Linked DNA regions of Rattus norvegicus. The protein of the gene in region 2 interacts with the protein of the main gene of each other region in a pairwise test. Links are inferred from orthologs where the notes say so. Each region holds a gene or a part of one and is shown on either strand. Other genes may lie near its edges.

The links. The genes of interacting proteins can lie anywhere in the genome.
Region 1: the proteins of Nmi (region 2) and Ube2i interact in a two-hybrid assay, tested with the Homo sapiens proteins (3 studies listed by BioGRID and IntAct). The link is inferred for Rattus norvegicus from reciprocal best matches to the Homo sapiens genes NMI and UBE2I.
Region 3: the proteins of Nmi (region 2) and Brms1 interact in binary tests that used the Homo sapiens proteins (3 or more experiments, as listed by UniProt). The link is inferred for Rattus norvegicus from reciprocal best matches to the Homo sapiens genes NMI and BRMS1.

The regions. Positions count from the first base shown.
Region 1 is NC_086028.1:14,795,455-14,799,734, forward strand, and holds the start of Ube2i (SUMO-conjugating enzyme UBC9), read right to left. Parts: upstream 2,801-4,280; 5' UTR 2,733-2,800; intron 2,078-2,732; exon of another isoform or gene 1,939-2,077; intron 1-1,938. UniProt on the Homo sapiens protein: Accepts the ubiquitin-like proteins SUMO1, SUMO2, SUMO3, SUMO4 and SUMO1P1/SUMO5 from the UBLE1A-UBLE1B E1 complex and catalyzes their covalent attachment to other proteins with the help of an E3 ligase such as RANBP2, CBX4 and ZNF451.
Region 2 is NC_086021.1:56,845,744-56,849,831, reverse strand, and holds the start of Nmi (N-myc-interactor), read left to right. Parts: upstream 1-1,288; 5' UTR 1,289-1,307; intron 1,308-4,088. UniProt on the Homo sapiens protein: Acts as a signaling pathway regulator involved in innate immune system response.
Region 3 is NC_086019.1:211,773,662-211,777,941, forward strand, and holds the start of Brms1 (breast cancer metastasis-suppressor 1 homolog), read left to right. Parts: upstream 1-1,480; 5' UTR 1,481-1,542; intron 1,543-4,280. Other genes in the region: B4gat1 (beta-1,4-glucuronyltransferase 1), read left to right, coding at 1-124, 368-559. UniProt on the Homo sapiens protein: Transcriptional repressor. Down-regulates transcription activation by NF-kappa-B by promoting the deacetylation of RELA at 'Lys-310'. Promotes HDAC1 binding to promoter regions.

The sequences.
Region 1 (4,280 bases), on a different chromosome or scaffold from region 2:
GATTACAGGCATGAGTCACTCCACCTGGCTCCTAGACCACTTTTTCCTTTCCTTTATTTTTGGAGACATTCTCACCATGTGGCCACAGCTGGCCAGAAACATACTATGTAGACCAGGCTGGCCTTGACAATTATGCACCACAGCACCCTAGACTGCTTTTGATGACTGTACAAGTACACAAGTAGAGAAAGGCTGGGACTGCCATCAGAGGTGGCAGCATCACCCAGGAGCCTAGAGTTCAGGAAACATTTTAGTGGGTGAGGTCACTTTTAGACAAACGCCTGTATTGGCATTTTTTTTTTTCCGGAGCTGGGGACCGAACCAGCTAGGCAAGCGCTCTACCACTGAGCTAAATCCCCAACCCCTGTATTGGCATTTTTAATATCCTGTACACTCTAAGCCAACATGAAGAAACTTTCAGAAGCACAAGCTGGGAGTGGTGAGATAGCTCAGCAATTAAGAGTACTACATGCTCTTCCAGAATACCTGGTTTAATTTCCAGCACCTACATGGCAGCTTATTTGCCTGTAACTCCAGTTCCAGGGAACCTGACAACCTCACATAGAGGAATGCAGATAAAACAACAATGCACATAAAATAGATTCTAAAATTAAAAAAAAAAAAAAAAAAAGCACAAGCCGCCAAGACAAGCCTCGACAATGTTGGCATTCCTAAGCATACCTAGCTCTATCAAACATCCTGATTCCTTTTTTATAAATCACAAAAGGCAGCACCTATGTTCCACAGCTCCAGTCCCAAAGCACAAAGTGTACAAACTAAAGGCAAGGCTCCTCTCTTACCGACCTCAAGTCTAAAACACAGGGTCCAGCCCAAACCCAACTGTCTTTCCCCAGCAAGGAGTAAAGCCTGTCTGCGAACAAGCACAACCACGGAGGTTCTGGCCACCCCAACACCTGCCCTAATAATAGTCCTTGTAGTCAATGTAGGACCCAGGTGGCATCCATCTAAGAGGACAGGCAGTTTGCTGGCCACAGGGGCTGCTGATAAGAGCAAGCTTTGACAGCAACGCCCAGGTGACACTGGCGCACCTGAGCTGTCTGGTTAGAGGGTATGAGGGCAGAGGTAGACCCAAGGACATCAATGGCTGGAGCAGGGCACAGAAGCCTATGTATCCAATGTGTCCCTCTTCTCAACTTCTCAATGCACAAGCCCAATCTCGTCCTCGGGCTTAAGGGTACAAGCACTCTAGCTTCTTTAACTAAGGGTAGGCAGTGAAGGAGCTGCTCTCCTCACCCAGCCAGTCAGATGGCAGAAGATCCCAAGCAAGTCTGGGCAGGGTTTCCAAACAGGTCTCTGGACCCCGGGTCAGTTCTCTGAAGAAGCCTGGACACTATGCTACACAAGCTGTTGGACAGCCATAACTGACCTCAGGAGAAAGTTGTGTGCCCAGAAAACTCTGTCCTAGCATCCAACTGCAGTTATCCTAAGTGAGAAGAACCGAGAAGCTAGCTCAAGTGGTGGCTCGTGCCTGCACACTCAAGTGTTAAGGAGACTGAACCAGGGGGACCCCCAAGAGTTCAAGGTTAGCCTTGGCTACAAGAGATGCTGTCTCAAAAGCAGGGAGGCAAAGTGAGAGACGGCTCTTACCAGAGCTCTTAAAGGTCCCACGGTCAAAGAAAAGGAACCCTAGAGACACACTGGCAACGATCTAAGCAGAAACTGGTCCTTGAGACAGTGCCGCTGCTCCCGAGAGCGGTAACAGTCACTCCACGAGCTAAAGTTTTGTGATGTAAATACACCCCTACCCCCGGCAAAGAAAAATTCGAAGGAAAAAACCCCCAAAAAACAACAAAATACAATCCTCTCCCCACTACTAGAGACCGGCAGAACACAGAGGGATGGGTCTTTCTACCACCTCAAGGTTCCTGCAGTGTGCAGTATTCGTCTGGCGACACCACCTACTTCAGAGTTACTTACCGGTCAGAGAACCTGTGCAAGGTTGCTTATCTCCGCCCACCTCGGCAGAGGAAACGTGGGTACCGGCCACTAAGGCTGGCTTGGATAAGGCTAAGCGGCCTCTTCTACTCGAATGCACACTCTAGGCCCTAAGGATCCTTCACTAAGTATACCACGCCGTTTCTTGAGTTTCTAGTGGCAGAGACAGCCAGAGGAGGGCAGGACTGCAATCACTCACAGCCTGAAAACCTTTAGAATCAAAACAAATTCCCCTTTGATACCCGTTTTCTGCTATGCAGAGAGGTAATTCATCCACTAAAACGGTTCCTTAAGAAAAAAGAACAGTGGGGCAGAGAACATGCACAAGACCCCCACAAAAACCCAAACTACAAGCCTAGCGTCTCAGCAACGAACGAAGTAAGCCAAGCCTTCTGCTGTGACTCCGGGTGCTTACAGGCCGCGACACGGCCCAGTGCCCACGGCCTTCCTGCACTCCCGCTCGCCTAACTACGGAGCCCAGCACCGCCCAGAATGTGTCTAGGAGCTACTGGGAAGCTCAGATTATCTGTTGTGGGGTCGGCGGAACTCAGTACGCCAAGAGTAGGGGGGTAGTGGGCCGTGTTCCCAACCCTGCATTCGCCCATGGCACAGCGGCTGGGCCCTATTGCCCCGAAGGCCGAGACTCGGAGGCGGGAGGAGGCCGCGAGCGAGAGGAGGCCGCTGTGGCTCCGCTCGGCGCCTCCCGGAAGCTCACTGGGAACGGCGGCGACTCCAGGCGAGGATTGGAGTGCGCGCGCAAGCCGGTGGCGGCTCACCTGGGCGACCGCGGCCCGGACCGTCGCGGCGGCAGAGGCGGCGGCGCTCCTTTGTCTCGGGACTTCCCTCCGCGCCCGCCGCGCGCAGCCCGGAGCGCAGGACCCCAGCGGGCGGGGCGGGGCGGGGCCTGAGTTGGGCTGCCCGCCGCACGCCTGCTCAGCGTACCGTCTTTCCGGTCCGGCAGCCTACGCCGTCTATTTAAACATGAGCTTCGCTCAGCCCTTACTCGGTTGCTGCGCTCTCGTTGCCCGCGACCACCTACAGAGCTGGGGCCCGGGGCGCCTGTCCAAGCAGGCGGTCCCCTGAACGGCCGCACTCTTAAAGGGGACGCGACCTAGGCTCAAGGGAGCGTCTGCAAACTCCTCATCGGGATCAGCGCGTCCACTCGAGGACACATCAGAGAGTCGTGTGAAGAAAAGAAAGCATAGATTTCCAAGGGTCATTCGGATGCTCAGAGGGCACCTTACCAGGCACAGGCTCTGGAGGTATCCTTGGGCTCAAGGCCCGAGTCCCGGGAGCAAAGATCACTGAGGCCTAAACATCCTGGGAATCGTCGCAGTACGGTGACGATCCCCGGAATACGGGGCGTTGAGACATTTTCTGTAATTGGCTAGCCCTGGAATTTGGGCGGGGTAAATCTCGAACCTACCCAATGAACGGACCTAATACAAAGGACCAAACGCAAACAAAACCGACGGGGAGAGAAATGTGGAAGCTCCCTAACCTACGAATTAGCCCTCGGTGGGGGAGGGGAATGGGCCGGAACCATGGGGGAGGGGCAGCACCCGAGAACTCCCCCGCCCCTAATCCTCTCCCCTATGCTGCACCCCACACCTCGTTCCACCTGAAACCCCTGCGCGGCTTCTGTTGGCACCACTGGACACGCTGTTGTCACTCCGTGGCCTAGTCCAGTTTCCTCCGCTAGTCCTCTGCAACCCAGCTCGGTGCTCGGATGCTTCCTCACCGACTCACCGACGGGACGGGTACTTAGAAACGTCGGCTGGCCCCCTGGTGGCCATCCTGGCGCCTGCTCCATTTTTTGGCACGTGCCGGAAGCCTTCGGGGCCACTTGCAGCCAACAAGGGCTTCCTGGGATATCTCAATATGAGCCCTGTGTTGCTGGAGACTTCAGTGTTTATCTGTCAATGTCTCCATCCATTTACTAACCTTCGTCCTCGTCCTCCTCTTCTCTTCTGAGGCTGTTGGGTGCCCCAGAACAGAGACCCAGGTCCCATGCCCTTTGCCCATAATTGCCCACCGTTCCCTGGAGCTCACCCTGTTAATTTCTCCAGTTCTTTGCCGTACTGTTTTAGAGTTAAGATCACGATGAGCACCAGATCCTGAGGGACCTTATTCTCTCATTGGGGCTGAGTTGTAGATGAGGTCTGCTTAGATACAGGTCCGTGACACCCAGTTGTGGTGGTTGGTGACCCCAGCAGATCTGTACCCCCAACAGAAGGCATCTATTTTGGATCCATCCCAGCCTGCACAGCAGCTTCCAAGACTGGTGGCTCCTGGGCACCTACATATGTTGACCAAGAGCAGCC
Region 2 (4,088 bases):
TTTCAGCATAAGCGATTTCACTTTTGCTCTGGAACTCAGTCCAAACCAATGACCTCTTATGAGTTTTAATTGACATTTATGCTCCCACTCAAATTCAGAAGAAAACCTAATACCGAGACCATTTGTTTTTATTTTTCAAAAAATAGACAATTAATTTATTTATTTACTTTACATCCCAACATCAACACCTCCTCTCCTCCTAGTCCCACTCTCTTATATGTCCTCTGCCCTCCCCTTCTCCTCTGAGAAGGGGTAACCCAACCCTGGGAATCACCCCCCTTCCCATGTACCAGTCACTGTAGCCTGTACTTTCTAATTGGGCTGACAACACAAAAGAAACCCTTATCTTTTTTTTTTTTTTTTTTTTTTAAGACAGGGTCTCATATGGTTCTGGTGTCATTGTAAACTGGGTCCTATCACCACCACCACCCCCCCCACCCCACCCCCGCCCTCCCTGGCCCAGACAGGTTTTTTCCTGTATAGTCATGGCTGTCCTGGAACTCTGGCCACAAACTCACAGAGATCCTCTTGCCTCTGCCTCCTGAGTGCTGGGATTAAAGGCCTGCACCGCCGCCAACCCGGCCGCCCCATCACTACTCTTGATGCAAAGAATTTTGCTTCTGCCACTGTGTGTCATTTTAGACCGAGCTATGGGTTAATACGTACTGATACAGGGCACCACTATGTAGAAGGCCCTGATATCTCTTTGCTGTCTTCCACTCTTCCACAGCTCTGTGCTCAAGTGCCGCCCAGCTATGGAGTAACTCGTTCTTGGTATAGGATTAGGGGACACTACCATTCTTGACAGAAGCCAGCTATTTTTCTGGCAAAGGAAATGCACACATCTAGCGGGAGTGTTTGTTTACAAAATCTTCACAACAAAAACAAAGCTTAGAAGAAAACTTTCAAGCGTCATAAAATCCAACCCAGGAAGCAGCTTTTCCAGCTTCCTGGTCTGTCTTGTGCTGGTGTCAAACTTTGTAACCGTCTAGCAAATTACAGAGGGAATTTGCGTAGAGAGCCCTGGTTTCCATACAGTTTTTTTCAACAGCGCGTTCCGCAGAATGCACACAAATAAGCTTTTCAAAGCAGGTCTTGGAATTACTGCCAGTATAGAAACAGCAGCAATGGCGCCCGGGACGAGGTCCGCAGGGCAAGGAGCAGAAGCATCCTGTTTCTGAAATAAACGAAAGTGAAAGAACGGCCTGTGACTGAGCCTGCTCATTGCAGAGGCCAGGTTTGTGTTTCCGAGGTGGGGTTCGGTTCTACCGGCGCTGCCGGCTTCCGAGCGCTGCGCGGCAGAGAGGGTGAGTGCTTGTCCCACCGGATGGTCCTCTGCGTCCCTGCTGTCCCACCACCCTCGCTCAGGGATGCTCCACCCCGCGCGCTCAGAGGGCGGAGGACTGCGGCTTCCAGCCCAGCATTGTGGGCCTCAGGGTCCCCAGTGCTCTGTCTGGGGACTCACCTGCTCCGGGCTCTCAGCCTTGGGTTGCTTCCCTTCCTGGGAAAAGGAAAGTTATAGTCACTGGGACTGGCTCCAGCATGTTCTTAGTAAAATGGCTTTCCCGGGAAGACTATTATTCATTTTTCCTTGTTAGGTGCTGAATTCTGTAGTCACGCCTCACTTTTTCAGAATATGTAAGATTTTTTGTTTTGTTTTGGGAGGAGATGTTGAAGGGAAAATACTTAATAAATTTCTAGGAGGCCACTGGTTTGGACTAAGAGGACTCCTGTTCCAGAGGCATCCAAGCTAACTTGTGTGCCTCTGAAGGAAACTTTTCCTGTGTCCGGTCCAGCCAGGAGAGAGGGGAATCAGCAGGTTTCACTGGGCCAGAGAATGAAATCACCTCTCCTTTAATCGTCACATAAAGTTGCTGGACATTCACCAGTCCCTTATTGTGTTCCGGTCTCCCTGGCCCTGTCTCACAGAGAACTTAACTCTGAATCAATATGTTCACTTCCTGCTTTTTCAGCTTTCTTCCCTGCCTATAAACCAAACTTCTGCACAGCAACGAAAACAGTCGAGGCAACTGCTTTCTATTTACACTGTGCTGGCTTTGAACTCTTGATCCTCTTGTTACAGAGCTGTGCCACCACCCAGATAGACCAGTTACTTTATTGTACTCAATCAACTGTCCCCTGATTATAAAAGAAATACAATTAGGATCTTTTAATTGTTAAAATTGTATCCATCTTTTGACATGTTTCAGGTGTATACAGCATGGATACATTATATTTTCTTCCTTTCTTTATGCTGCCGGGAACTCGGTGTATTGCATCACCCCATCTTTGGACATGTTTCAGGTGTATACAGCATGGATACATTGTATTTTCTTCCTTTCTTTATGTTGCCAGGAACTCGGTGTATTGCATCACCATGATATAAGTATACTTAGGAAAATGAGATAATAGTTTATTTTTTTAAGTTTACTGCCATAATTAATTACATGGCCTTGGTGGCTTATACACACATGCGCCTGCATGGACACACTTTTTAATTTAAAACTATTTACTTTTAGTACCACTTTAAAACGAGATGTGTGCCTGTGTATGTCTGTGTGTCTGTCAGTTGTCAGGGTCTGTGCGTCTCCCTGGGAAAGTAAAGGGGCTAGCAGAGCTGTCTTCTGTCCTGGGAGCTCTTGGGACGAACTCCTTCCACTTTCTGGATCAGCCTTCTTTGCTTGGCTTGGCATTCCGTCTCCCATTTCCAAAGTCAGGATCAGCATTGCTTCTCTGATCGTGTTTTTGCCTCCTATCTCAGTCTAATGCTGATGTTATCCCCTCCTTTAATCTAGAGGAGTTTCTGGTTAGGTGAAGTTTTCACATACAATGCAGCATAATCTCTATATTGTGTGTGTGTGTGTGTGTGTGTGTGTGTGTGTGTGTGTGTGTGTGTGTACATACCTGAATGCACCTGTGGAGGCCAGAGATAGAACTCTGGATATTGTCTTCTCTTTTGCTCCACTTTAATTTCTGAGTCAGGGTCTCTCAGTGGACCTGTAGTCTTGGCTACACTGTCTGACAGCAAGTCTCAGAATGCACTGCACCTTGCCCAGGATGGGAAGTACCAGTGCTTACCCAGCAAGCTCTTTACCCTGGAGCCATCTCTTCAGCTCCTACCTCCGTATTTTACAATCAGCCTCCTGAATTCAGTTTGCAGCCTTAAATCTTCTCTGCAGTGTAACGTTTTTCCCAAGTTCTTGGGACTAGAACATGGATGTCTTTGAAGGGGTCATTTTTCTGCTTAGTATAAGATTGCTTGAAAGGGAAGAATTACCATACATTCCTCACAGTGTGAAAGGGAAAAATATTCAGATGAGAAATGCGATGAAGATATTCTGGGGGTGTTATGCAATAGACCACTTACATCAAGAGCTTTTAAAAATATTGGTGCTTTGGGCTGGAGAGATGGCCCAGCAGTTAAGAGCAGAGACTGCTCTCCTGAGTTCAGTTCCCAGTAACCACATGGTGACTCACAACCATCTGTAATAGGATCTGATGCCCTCTTCTGGTGTGTCTGAAGACAGCGACAGGGTACTCACATACATGAAATAAATAAATCTTAAAAAAAAAAATCTAAAAAAAATGTTTAAAAAAAGAGTGTTGGTGTTTTAATATTTAAAAACAATTGTAATTTCTCTCTTAAGAAATGTAATAAGAGGGGTTGGGGATTTAGCTCAGTGGTAGAGCACTTGCTTAGCAAGCGCAAGGCCCTGGGTTCTGTCCCCAGCTCCGAAAAAAAGGAAAAAAAAGAAATGTAATAAGAGGAGTTCATGTCTATATGGACATGAATATATATGAATATGAATATATATTTTACTGGGCAGAAAAATATCCAATATAAAATACACAGTATAGTATGCACAGTATAGTATAGTTCTTGGTTGCATAGGTTCCTGCCCTGAATGCAAGCAGGAGTGCCTGCCTGTAGTCCCAGTCTGTAGGTATTCGTTGCTTACTTAAAGTGACACATATAATTAAAGTGCCTTGTAAGCAATAAAGAAGAACTAATGTCTTCTGGGGAGGTCAGAAAAGGCTTCAGGAACCTTATGGAGGTTTGCTATGACCCTCGAAGAACCAAAGAATTT
Region 3 (4,280 bases), on a different chromosome or scaffold from region 2:
TTTGCTGAGACCTGCCTACGTGGTGCCCTGGAGGGACCCCTGGGAACCGTTTTACGTGGCTGGAGGAAAGGTGCCCACATTTGATGAACGCTTTCGGCAGTATGGTTTCAATCGAATCAGCCAGGTACTTAAAAAGGAGAGGGCATGTGGGACTGGAACTGGAGGTATGTCAGGGATGGAGTGGCCATTGGTGGGAAAGAGGCAATGAAGCAAGAAGATGGATGGTGTAGAATTGAGGAGGGTGGAGTGACACTTTAAGGATGATCATTTGGGCCCTGGGGATATCATTAAGTTATTATGATTAAATTATTATGACCTCTCTCTGTCTCTCTCCCTCTCTTCCCTCTCCTCTCCTCCATCTCTCCAGGCTTGTGAACTGCACATGGCAGGGTTTAATTTTGAGGTGCTGAACGAAGGTTTTCTGGTTCATAAGGGATTCAAGGAGGCATTGAAGTTTCACCCCCAAAAGGAGGCTGAAAACCAGCGCAATAAGATTCTTTACCGACAATTCAAACAGGAGTTGAAGGCTAGGTACCCCAACTCTCCCCACCGATGCTGAGTTCTTTCCTTCCACGGTCTGAGAATTTTCAGCATCTGGCGCTTCAGGCCTGACTGGGGTAAGAACATGCCTCCACTTTACAGAGGTAGCTGTGGTTTTGGAACACTGGACTTGACTATGAGGTGCTGGGAGCAAGTCTCAGCTTTACCACTAACTAGTAGGGTGGCCTTGAGCAAAACCTGTTCCTTCTCTGAGCCTCCATTACCCCGTCTGTAAAAAGGGAGGTGAAAATACCTACCTCACAGAACTGTTGGCTCAGATGAGACGCTGTATGTGAAAACATCCTGTAAACTTCGTACAAATGTGAAGTATTAATATTGCTACAGTGTTATTATTATGATATTGTTATTATTAACAATGTTGGGTGGATAGCGGCAGAGCAAAAAGTATGAATGGGCTAGAGCTTGAGTATTTAATAAAATGAGCCTTTTGGAAAGATGAAAACATAGAACGTAGTGCTCAGAACTGGCGTAAAATGTAAGCTTCCTCGTTCTCTTCATGCCTGCGCCCTCCACCCTCCGAGCTCCAAGGAGGAAAGGGTCTGTAGGTCCTGGGGGTTAAAAGTCCCAGCTCTGTGCCCTCCTGGAGGTCGGGCTACTCATTTGCCTTCGGATGACAGTGTGTAAATAAACGAGTGTTACACCCACAGCTGGCTCTGTTACTCTCCTAAGCTGAGGGGTGGTGGGCCAGAGTATCGTGTTATATGGCGGTGGACCCAAGGACACAGACCACAATGCTAGGACAGGCTGAAGGCCTGGGACTGTAGGCCAGTTGCTATGGAGACCCGTCCGCCGTTTCCCGGCATGCCTGGACACCAGTAGTTCCATTGTAAGCTCCACAATGGGCGCCTTCTGATGACGTACACGGAAGCGTCGACACCTCCTGGAGAAAGAGGGACCTGCGCAGCTCTCTTCGGGAGACCAACGGCGGAGCGTTCACCTGTGTCCGACAGCTCTCCGGGACCGGAGGCCCCAGTCTCTGCGGTGCGTATGGCCACGCCTAGCGCTGGGTTGGGCTTCCCGGGTCGGAGTCAAAGCAGAGACTTAACCGGCCCGGCTCGTGCTGGCCTGAGAGGAGCCGGCGGTTCTGAGGGTGGATCGGGGTTGGACGGTCCCTTGCGCCTCAGTTTGTTTCCTGTGTTTGTAGGGAGGGGTCCGCTTTCCCTGGAGGTTTGCTCTGGAGGTGCTTATACGTTTGTAAAGAGAAATCTCATGTACATCGCACTTTACCGTGTGCCTCTTCATTCCCAACAATCCTCAGCAATGGTATATATCCCCTATTGTACCCGGGTTAAGGAGGGACGGTTGTGACTTCATTTAACGAAGTCAGGATCAGAGTCAGCTGGAGGAAGGAGATCGTTGAGTTCGCCCTGCGTCTTAGCAAGCATATATACCACGGTGAAAAGGAATTGTTAGTGAAGGGGATCTGAGGCTTGAGAAGGGGAACGGTGAGACTATTTTGGAGATCTGGATTTTAGAGCAGGAGGGAATGCTACTTAAACTCTCCTGCAGCTCCGGCACTATAATTACTTGAATGGGTGTGAAGGAGCGTTGGCACCACTCCAAGTAGGGCTACCAAGAAGTAAAACTCAATTCCTGTACCGCAAAGGTTTGTTAATTTGTGTTTAGAAGTCTTGGGTCGGGGTTGGGGATTTAGCTCAGTGGTAGAGCGCTTGCCTAGGAAGTGCAAGGCCCTGGGTTCGGTCCCCAACTCCGGAAAAAAAAAAAAAAAGAACCAAAAAAAAAAAAAAAAAAAAAGAAGAAGTCTTGGGTCATCAAGTGAGCTGGTACTGCACTAGGTGAATAGGACAGATTGCAGCCCCTGTCCTGATGAAACACCCACATTTCACTGGGTGGACGGACATGAGAATGGGAGAACATGGGACAAAAAACCTTCTGGGGGAGGCACGGGGAAGACTTACAGAGCAGCAACCAGAGATGTAGAAATAACACCATTTACACCAGTGTGAACTAGAAGCTTCTACATCCAAGATGGCTTATTCTCTCGGGTGATCTGGCAGCATCAACCTCTCATGTCTCCTTCATTCTGAAAATACCTTCCACCCCAACTTTAGGATTTTTTTTGGGGGGGGGTTCTTTTTTTCGGAGCTGGGGACCGAACCCAGGGCCTTGCGCTTCCTAGGCAAGCGCTCTACCACTGAGCTAAATCCCCAACCCCCAACTTTAGGATTTTCAATCTGCTCTGCAGAGGTTTCTCCCCCTGCCTCCTTTGTTGACCTTGAGAATTCCAGCAAAGACCCCTTGTCACGTTTCTGCCTGAATAGTCAGACTACATTCAGCCTAAACAACTTGCCAAATGGAGGTGGTGGAGCCTAGGTCTAGTGGAAGCTTGCATACCTATGTCCCCGGTCCTTTTCTCACATCTAGGTCTTTGTACTCTGCCGGGAATGTTTCTCTCATGTCAGCCTGGTCCTCACCTAGTCTGTCTCCCTCTGGAAGCTGTCACTGTAGCAGCAAGCTCCAGATCCTGTGTAAACACCTCTCCCATAACACCTTAGTTTGTCTCTCTTCACACACACCGTTATAAAGGTCTGTTTCTTTGCCTTCCCTCCCAGGAAGTTGTTATTTCCTCGAGGCCAAAGACTGACTGTCGTAGCTATGGTATAGCATCTGCCACAATCCACAGTGACTGTTGGTACCAGGCATATATTAAGTGTTTAGTAAGCTAAAAGGTGGGTGGAGGGACTTAGCAGTGTTTAATGTTTCTGAAAGAGAAAGCTCACCTAAGGCAAGCACTGAAAAACAGCGTTTGCTACAAGGCAGTTGATGTGTAATTCTGCCACAGTGGTTTCACTGTGAGTGCTGGATATCCAAATGCTGAAAGTCAGAATAGCAAGTGTGCACAAGGCCTGGAGAACTGTAGGAAATTAAGTAAACCGAGCCAAGTTTCATATTTCTGCATTCATTCTTTTACCTACTTATTTATTTATTTGAAATAAGTAAGTTTTTGACACGGCCTCACCAGCTATTGCCAGCCTGAAACTCTGTATAGCAGGCTGAGCTTGAATTTGTAGTAATTCTCCTGAGTGCTAAGATAACCACTACACCTGGCTTTATTTTTTTATTTGTGTTTGTTTTTTCCAGAGGGATCTAGTCCAAGTGCCTCTTTAAGCAGCAATTCTACCACTGAACTATACCCCTGACATACTGCTTTTATTTGCTTTTGTTTTAAGACAGAGCATCACTATCTAACCCACAATGGCCTAGAACTTGCAGACCTGCGTCAGGATGTGGGGGGTTGGGATTATGTGTATGAACCTCATCAGGCTCTTGTTTATTTCTTTCTAGTACTGAGAGTTGAGTCCAAGACCTCATATAAGCTAGAAACATTATCACAATTCTCTGCTCCCCACTACTTCCACCCCCCCAATGGCTGTCCTGGAACTCCCTCTGTAGACTAGGCTGGCCTTGAACTCAGAGTTCCACCTGCCTCTGCCTCTGCCTCTGCCTCTGGAGCACTGGGATTAAAGGCATGTGCCACTACCACCTGGCCTCTCTCTCTCTCTCTCTCTCTCTCTCTCTCTCTCTCTTCTTTTTTTAGATTTCTTTTTTTTTTTCTTTTTTCTTTTTTTTGGAGCTGGGGACCGAACCCAGGGCCTTGAGCTTGCTAGGCAAGTGCTCTACCACTGAGCTAAATCCCCAACCCCAGATTTCTTTTTTTATATATGTGGGTATGCTGTAGCTGTTTTCAGACACACCAG